2 linked regions of the Rattus norvegicus genome follow. Each later gene encodes a partner of the first gene's protein in a complex. Links are inferred from orthologs where the notes say so. Each region holds a gene or a part of one and is shown on either strand. Other genes may lie near its edges.

Region 1 (4,603 bases):
TTGGAAAGATGATCTAGTGACAAACTAGATTACCGACACCCTGGAAGATATTCCAGAGGGACTACCAGATTTTGACAATTTTGACTGGAGGAGTCCTCACTACTAAGGACTCCTCAGCTACAGTAACAACCATGTTACCATGAGGAAGCTGCTACATATGACCACCACCAAAATGAACAAAAGGACCTCCATAAAAGCCAGACTAATTACAGGTGACATTGAGGTGACATGTCTGCAAAAATCTTCCCTACTGCAAATACCAGGAAAATACCACAGAAGAGAATTTTACTGTCCCATTTTAAACCCTTTTCATAGGTTTATCAATGTTTCAAAAACAAATGAAGGGGTTGGGGATTTAGCTCAGTGGTAGAGCGCTTGCCTAGGAAGCGCAAGGCCCCGGGTTCGGTCCCCAGCTCCGAAAAAAAAGAACCAAAAAAAACAAAAAACAAAAACAAAACAAAAACAACAACAACAACAAAAAAAAAAAACAAATGAAGACTTGAAAGCCACATTTCAGTGCTTACTGAAGCAAACTTAAAAGTCTGTGGCACGTCCAGTAACAATGCCCAGCAGTATAGTCAAAGCAGAAAACCATTTACTCAAAAGAACAGTATAAAAAGGCATGGTTTTGAATCAATCTCTCTCTCTCTCTCTCTCTCTCTCTCTCTCTCTCTCTCTCTCACACACACACACACACACACACACACACACACACACACCCTAGAAACACTGACATTTCTATACTAGGGCACTGAACATATCTCTTAGGTTCTGAGAAGTGGGTAATCCTGGCAGAGCGGCTAGTGCATGCAATCATGCTGGCAAAAGACCAACCCACTCCTCTGCAAAGAATCCTGAAACTATAAAATATTTCTGTTCATAGGAAAGCAAACTAAAGTCAAAGGAAACATTAGGAGTAACGTAGTATCTTACTTTAGGCATTACCCTTGCAAACAACTATGGAGAAAACAGGCTGTGTGACACATTGGGGGCATTGAAAATAGGCCTACAATCCTGTGCTCCTCCACCAGCTAGCACCACACTTCCAACCAGCAGCCTAGAGTGAACCTTTGTGGGGAGAAGTATAGGAGTAGCCAGGCACACCTATCCCTGCTCTAGTGGGGCTTTCACAGGAAGACCAGTCTAGGCTATACAGTGAGTCCAGGACTACCTGGGTTACATAAGACCTTGCCTAAAAAATCAGGATGGGTTTCTACTGACAGAAGTTCTATAGCCAAGGAGACATAACACCAAACTTATTTAAATCCAGTGCCATTCCAAAAATTACAAGAAAATAAAATCCAGACCTGTAGAATATTCTCACGGATTGATATGCCTTGCACATTCAAGATTACCATCTTCAATTAGTTAACACTCTGTATATTTATCTAATTAGAGGGTACTCAATCAACAGCCAAGTTACATCGTGGTCTCATTCTCCGAATTGGGGGGAAATTAAGAAACAGTCAACAGTATGGTGATCCAGACAACCAGCATCGGTTACCTCAACCAGGAGCTCCATAGTGGTGTTTAGTACATGGTCTCTTAGAGACACTGAAACCGTAATTTTGTGGATGTTAACTCTAGGGTTGCAACTGTTAAAGCAGTCACCTACTCTTTCCTAAGATAAACACCTCACTTAGCACCTTTCCACTCTAGGCACCTTCAACTCTCATACTGTCTCCAATCTTCCAACTCCTTCCTAAGGGGTTTCTCCAGACCTTGAGGAAAGATAGTGAAAGGATGAGTAAGCAGGCCCAGACTGATGTTGGTCAAAGAGCACAGACCCAGACACCAGCAGTGGAAAGCCGGGTGAGAACGCAGAATGAAAAGCCTACAGGAGTCCGTTCAGGGGCAGGCTTTCTACTGGCCACCTCCTTCGGCAACCAAACTCCCCACCTCCCACTCACTTCACCACATGTCAGTTGTCCCTGTCAAGCATACATTTTTCGGAGACAGTTACGGCTTTCAAACAGCACTTAAAGATGAACATGATGTTCTCGGGTTCCGGTCAAAGACAATAAAGCCTCGCCCTGCAACGTGGTCAAGTTCATACGTCCTGTTTCACATAAGAGACTGAATACTACTGTCTCGACACCTTGTACCTTCCCCACTCCACCCAGGCCCACCTCTATTCGGCAAAAAGATGACTACTAGGAGCAGCTTCAAATGTATGTCAATCGCTTGGTGGTGGTGTTGGGAAAACAAAAGGGCTTTTGAATTACTTTAACAGCCTGGTTCAAAGAGCCTGGCCTTGTTTCTTCTCAAAGGGGGAGAAAATAGGACACCGAGAGTTCGGAGATGTCTTTCTCGCCTTCCCTGTGCTGGCCGCCAGCTGCTACCTAGCGGGCCTATGAGGGGTCCAGTCTAGGTTTCTTGGAGGCGGAAAACTTGGTGGCCAAACATCTTGGAAGTTTCTCCGTTTTCTTTTAAAAGGTTTAATTTCTTTACAGATGGAAAGGTCACAGGGAGAGGTTTCCTTTGTTGAAATGCCCGGGGCTTGTGGGATTGGGGAAACGGGTGGGGATAGACCGTGCTCAGAGAAGGCGGGACAGACACGGGGATCCGACTAGACTGCTCCGGGCCGCAGGACCGGTGCAGTGGTCCGCAGCTCCTACGCCTAGAGAAGAACTCAGTCGCCTCGGCCTGCGGCCCCGCCACCTGTCCGTCGCGCCCGGGTACAGGGGAAGGCGCCGCCGCCTCCACTCAAAATGGAGGTTATGAAACGCGCGCCGCCCGCCCGCCCGCCCGCCCGCCACATGGCCGCGCCGCCACAAACTTCGCAGGCGCGTCCACGTCCTGGGGATCAGACCCCGGCATCACCGGGGCCGCCACTCACCCACAGACCGATAGCCCAGGATGGCGATCTTCCGGGACTTGGACTGAGGCATCTTGGTAGCCTGGTCAGCCCCGGCCCAACCACATCAACCGCAGCGGCGGCGACTCCTCCGGCTCAGACTATCGGCGGCGGGTGCGCCGGGGGAACGCGGCATACAGAGCGCGGCGGCGGGCGCGGCTGCCTCTTGCTCGCTCGTTCTCTAGCTCGCTCAACCGCCCGGAACCGAACGCGCGGGCCCTCCCCCAACAACACACCCACGTGACCGCGCGCGGCCGCGTCTGCGCCGCCTCCCGCCACCGCCTCCCAGCCCGGAACGCGCGGGGGTGCGTCGGGGGAACGTTTTACTTTAAAGGGAAAAAGCGGAGACGCCCGAAGGCCCCCGGAAAAGTCACGACCAAAACTCGCTGCGTCATGACCCTCCCACCTACTTCCGCCGCTTTTTAATTACGACAGTCTTTCCCGAGCTCTGACTGGACGGCTTCCAGACTGCCGCGCGATGACGCAATGGAAACTCCATCTTCTATTGGGGATTAGGAGGGGGTGGAGCCAAGGAGAGACACTGTTCAACCGGGAGCTAAAAATACAACCTGGCTGCTTTTGCTACGCGGGGCGCCTGCGTGATCCAAAAGCGTGGCCCTACGGGCGAGTGGGCGGGCGGACAACTCCCCAGTGATTGGCTGATATGGCGTGCGGGGGCGGAACCATAGGCGAGAAGCGCGGTCATTGGTGAAGTGACGAGCCGTTGGCCGACTTGCGCCTGCCGGCCCTTAAAAGGCGTGAGGCGCGTGGCCCTAGCTGACGGGCTGTAGGTTGGCTGTCACCTCTCTTCGTTCTTGTCTATACTTTAAATTACCGTCCTGCTATGTTAGCTTTAGTCTGGGCTTAGTGTGGGTGGTGACTAAGCTTTATTCGTGGCTGAGGAACTGTGGGAAGAATGGAATCTGTGCAGAACGCAAATGTCAGAGATTCCACTAAAAGCAGCGCGAGCTGGCCAGTCCTAGTGCGGACTCGGGCAACACGCTGGGCAGCGCGCACCTCGCATAGAAAGGCGCACTCGTGGGTATCCTGCAGCCAGATCAGCGCGTCTTTTCATACATAACAGTCGAGATGTTATTTCTGGAGAAACGTGAAAGTCAGCCATTGTCAAGAACGCTGAGGAAAAGCAGGCGGCTTCGCTGTCTGGTGTGGGCGGGCCATGCCTGAAAAGGGAAGGCTGTCATATTTTCTGCAACAGGCGTACTGGCACAGAGCCCTTGTTTCCGGAGAACTAGAGGATTGGGATGTCCTCATATTGAAGAACAGGAAGAAAAACTAGTCCCTAGGTCTAGTTCATGAAAGCCCAAGCTAGGCCTGGAAATAAAGGTGCCAAGAGCGTGAACAGCACGCTTGTCCTTAATTTCTTGTCCTTCACAATAGACCTGTTTTTATAAGGTCTCATGTAGTCCAGGCTGGCCTGGAATTCTTAAGAGATCCACCTGCCTCTGCCTCCAAAGTGCTGGGATTAAATGCTGCCCTGCTACCCTTGATCTTTCAATTCTGTCTTTGCCCAAGTGCTCTGATTTCCGGCTTCCAAACCATGTTTATTCAGTGCTAGGAATTGAACCCAGGATGAACGTTAGGGAAGTACTCAGGCAACTGAGCCTTCCCCTTAGAACTATATTAAGTATTTTAAAACAGACTCAGGTAAATGTATATTCAGCAGATAAATCCACCAGTGTTCTTGAGACCAAAGCACTAAATTTCCTGGTGAATGTAACACAGGGT
Region 2 (3,805 bases), on another chromosome or scaffold:
GCAGCCTGCATACAGAGTGGGTGTTCACAGCCTGGACCTGCCAGAAGCGGCTAGGTGAGGCCTGTAGAGACAGCAGATCTGATGCTCCTTGACAACAAGTCATGTACGTTGACCAATTAGAGCTCTCTGCCGTCAGCTGGAACGTAATGCAGTTACCAAGGCATCTAATGAAACCTAATTATTGAGACAAATTCTCTAAGGCAGCTGAAGGAATTCCCAGGATCCTGATGTGTTAATATTCATGGTTCTCATTTAGAAAGATACCAATCTCACTCTCTCCCCGACCTCCTCTCTCTCCCCGACCTCCTCTCCCCCGATATCTCTCTCTCTCTCTCTCTCTCTCTCTCTCTCTCTCTCTCTCTCTCCCCAGCCCGTGTGCCCAAGAAAATTCTCAAGTGCAAGGCAGTGTCTCGAGAACTGAATTTTTCTTCAGCAGAGCAAATGGAAAAATTCCGCCTTGAACAAAAAGTTTTTTTCAAAGGACAATGCCTAGAAGGTATTCTATTCCTCGAGTGCCTGGAGCCGGAGTGCAGGAGGGGGGTAGGAGTAGGGGGGGGGGGCAACAGGCAGGGCAGTGCTCTGAGAACACTGACCTTATTACTAATAGAAGGTCTACAACACTGGGGAACCCCAGTGAAAACGAACCAAAACAAACTGGACACAATGGGGGCTTTGAGCTGTCTGACACCAGAAGCTCGAGTGCCCATGCCCGTGCCCGTGCCCGTGCCCGTGCCTAATGTGCTGTTACAATGTGATCTTGGAAGAAGCAATTACAATGAAGTGTAGTATAGGTCATGCCTATACATCAGAAGTCGTTACTGATAAGGACTCTGAATTCGATTCTCAAAATGTAAGAGAACAACATGTAGGCACTGTAGAGCGACCTACCTCTGTTAGTGCAGAGCTTGCTACTCCTAGGAAAATGATGCTTATGTGTCCTCCTCACTGATGCTTATCTATTAGACCCCATAAGAGACAGTCCTGTGTGCCCTAGGTGTAGTGGTGCACGCCTTTAATCCCAACACTCAGGAGGTAGAAGGAGGTGGATCTCTGTGAGTTTGAGGCCACCCTGGTCCACAAGTGAGTACCAGGACAGCCAGGGCTACACAGAGAAACCCTGTAGAAAGGAAGGAAGGAAGGAAGGAAGGAAGGAAGGAAGGAAGGAAGGAAGGAAGGAAGCCATTCTGTGGCACAAATCAGAAGATAGGCTGTGAATGTCCTGTGTCCTTTTGTGTGCCTTAGGAGCTATCTGATAGGTTCCTGTCATGGTCTGGACAGGAAGAGCCCACATTAATGGAGAGAGACACAGCCTGGGGTTCCCCCGTGCCCACAGATAGCGCCTGCTCACTGGCTTTTCCTTCTTCCCTTCAGAGTGGTTCTTCGAGTTTGGCTTTGTGATCCCTAACTCCACAAACACCTGGCAGTCCTTGATAGAAGCAGCGCCTGAGTCCCAGATGATGCCCGCCAGCGTCCTGACGTGAGTGAGGCCCAGGAGATTTCAAAGTGTATCCCAGAACAGCCTTTAGACAGCAGGGACTCCAGGTCCCACTCGCAGGCAGAGCTGGGAAGAAAGATGAGTAAAAGAGCACCCAGTGGTGTGTCAAGGTCGCTGGCTTCTGTCCTGTGAAAAGTAACGGCCTCAAAAACTGTAGGCCACATTTTAAATTTCCAGGTCACTCTGACTACTTGTCTCCTTGGACAATAATGTCTTATCTTGCCTTGCCTTACTTTCATGGGTATAATGAAGGTGAAAAATGAGACAGTGTGGAAGGGAACTGGCACAAAATAAACAATAACCCACAAAGGGATTAGGTGTGGCCACAATATTCCACTTTATAAGTGGAAGCACTGGGTTGGGGATTTGGCTCAGTGGTAGAGCGCTGGCCTAGCAAGCGCAAGGCCCTGGGTTCGGTCCCCAGCTCTGAAAAAAAAAAAAAAAAATAAGTGGAAGCACTGCTCTGCCATTTATGGCTCAGTGGGAGTGTTCTTGCCTGGCATGCACAGGGCCTACGCTCAGTTTCTGGCACAGCCAGAAAAAGAAAAAGGAAACAGAATGGGCCACTGAGATAACCATATAACCAGAAAAGTAAACCCCGTCCTCACTGTACAGGTGCCTCATTTAAGGCTCTTTGGTTTCAAACAACAGAATCAAATCCTCGGGAATAGAACTATTAGACTAAGCAGAGACCCAAGCAGCTTGGAATGGACAAGGGCAAGAATCCATTATGCCTTCCTCAAGGAGTAACTGAGGAGAGATGTTGGGGGTGTGGGGGTGTGGATCTGATTAGCATGACTAGAATGCTGTGACACCTCACATCTCAGCAGGGTTGTGGGTAGTCACTCAGCTGACCCAGGCACTAGAAGAGAGACTGTTCACAAAGGAAGAGCAGGGTGCCACTACCCAAAATCAGGAGAGTACTGCAGGGCAGGCCACACCCAACTTACTCAGTGTTGTAGGAAAGGCTGCCTTCCTGAGGTCAGCCCAGGATCTGCAGCCATCCATTAGGAAGCAAGCCAGAGGTGTCCATGAGATCTGTAAGCAGAGCACGCCGCAGACATTAGTGCGCCGAGACAAAAGGCACGTTCTTATTTCTGACTTTCTCCATTAGGAGAACAAACAGGAGTTTAACACTGCAAGACTCTAACTCAGATAGACGATACTTTAATTGTATTTGCCTTGCTTTGGTTCTCTTTTTTTTTTTTTTTTTCTTTTTTTCGGAACTGGGGACCGAACCCAGGGCCTTGCGATTGCTAAGCAAGTGCTCTACCACTGAGCTAAATCCCCAACCCCCTGGTTCTCTTTTGAGACAGGGTCTCACTTTGCAGCCCTGGCTGGCCTGGAACTTACCATATAGACCAGGTTGGCCTGGGATCACAGAGATTCGCTTGCCTCTTCCTCTCTAGTGCTGGGACTAACGGTGTGCACCACTGTGCCTGACGTTTGTTCCCCTTGTGAGATAGAACTCACTGTATAGCACAGAGTAACCTTGAACTCAGACCCTCCTGCCTTGGCCTTGGGGAGGGTTATGTGTGTACACCACCACACCTGGTTCTGGACAAGGCCTGTAATGGCCCAAGCTGAGGTTCTAGGTGGACATGTGCCCAGCCCAAAGCACCCAAATGGACACTGACTGTGGACAGGGGGCCTTGGCCTGTGGCACTCACTTTCTTTACCCTCTCGCTTCTCTCCCCCAGGGGCAACGTCATCATAGAGACAAAGTTCTTTGACGATGATCTTCTTGTCAGCACATCCAAAGTGAGGCTTTTCTACGTTTGAGAGAACTTGTGTGCACTTCCAAGAATCTGGAACAGGGGCAGGAGGAAGCTGTACTTGTTCCTCTGCACATTTGATTTTGATACTCCAGCTGATTCCTTCAACACAGAACCCACCTGTGGCACCAGGAAGCCAGCTCTGAAAGGCGGCCAGTCGGCTTTTCTCCCAAACCTCCATCGTCACTGACAAGACTAAACTCCCAACCCCAGCCAAGGGCAGGGAATAAGCCTCAACTCCTTCCTGGTGCAAACATGGGAACAAACCCCGTACTCGGAGCCACACTGCGCCTGTCACCTGCCCTGCCTCCTCCCTTGGGCCCTATAGGCTTTCTTTGGCCTCTGGTTTTGAAAAAAATTTACCTTTCTGACCCATTTAGTTTTTTTCCTACCACTTCTATTTCATACATTCTCATACCTTTAACTTGTAAAATAGACTATGATATTATTATTACATAATGTAATGAAAGCATTAAACTATTCCTACAGTCTTTAGCATGCCACTGTTTCCAACGCTCCTTTTTGTCTGGACTAT

Evidence for each region.
Region 2: the proteins of Rheb (region 1) and Pde6d are in contact, whole or in part, in a crystal structure (PDB 3T5G), measured with the Homo sapiens proteins. The link is inferred for Rattus norvegicus from reciprocal best matches to the Homo sapiens genes RHEB and PDE6D. Residues at the interface, in NP_005605.1 of Homo sapiens: Pro2, Gln3, Ser4, Gln57, Asp77, Gln176, Gly177, Lys178, Ser179, Ser180, Cys181; in NP_002592.1 of Homo sapiens: Ile53, Leu54, Cys56, Val59, Val80, Gln85, Cys86, Leu87, Glu88, Glu89, Trp90, Ile109, Glu110, Ala111, Ala112, Pro113, Gln116, Met117, Met118, Leu123, Tyr149.

Annotation. Positions count from the first base shown.
Region 1 is NC_086022.1:11,011,794-11,016,396, reverse strand, and holds the start of Rheb (GTP-binding protein Rheb), read right to left. Parts: upstream 3,015-4,603; 5' UTR 2,892-3,014; coding exon 2,840-2,891; intron 1-2,839. UniProt on the Homo sapiens protein: Small GTPase that acts as an allosteric activator of the canonical mTORC1 complex, an evolutionarily conserved central nutrient sensor that stimulates anabolic reactions and macromolecule biosynthesis to promote cellular biomass generation and growth.
Region 2 is NC_086027.1:94,640,898-94,644,702, reverse strand, and holds the end of Pde6d (retinal rod rhodopsin-sensitive cGMP 3',5'-cyclic phosphodiesterase subunit delta), read left to right. Parts: intron 1-370; coding exon 371-496; intron 497-1,371; coding exon 1,372-1,477; intron 1,478-3,195; coding exon 3,196-3,277; 3' UTR 3,278-3,771; downstream 3,772-3,805. UniProt on the Homo sapiens protein: Promotes the release of prenylated target proteins from cellular membranes. Modulates the activity of prenylated or palmitoylated Ras family members by regulating their subcellular location.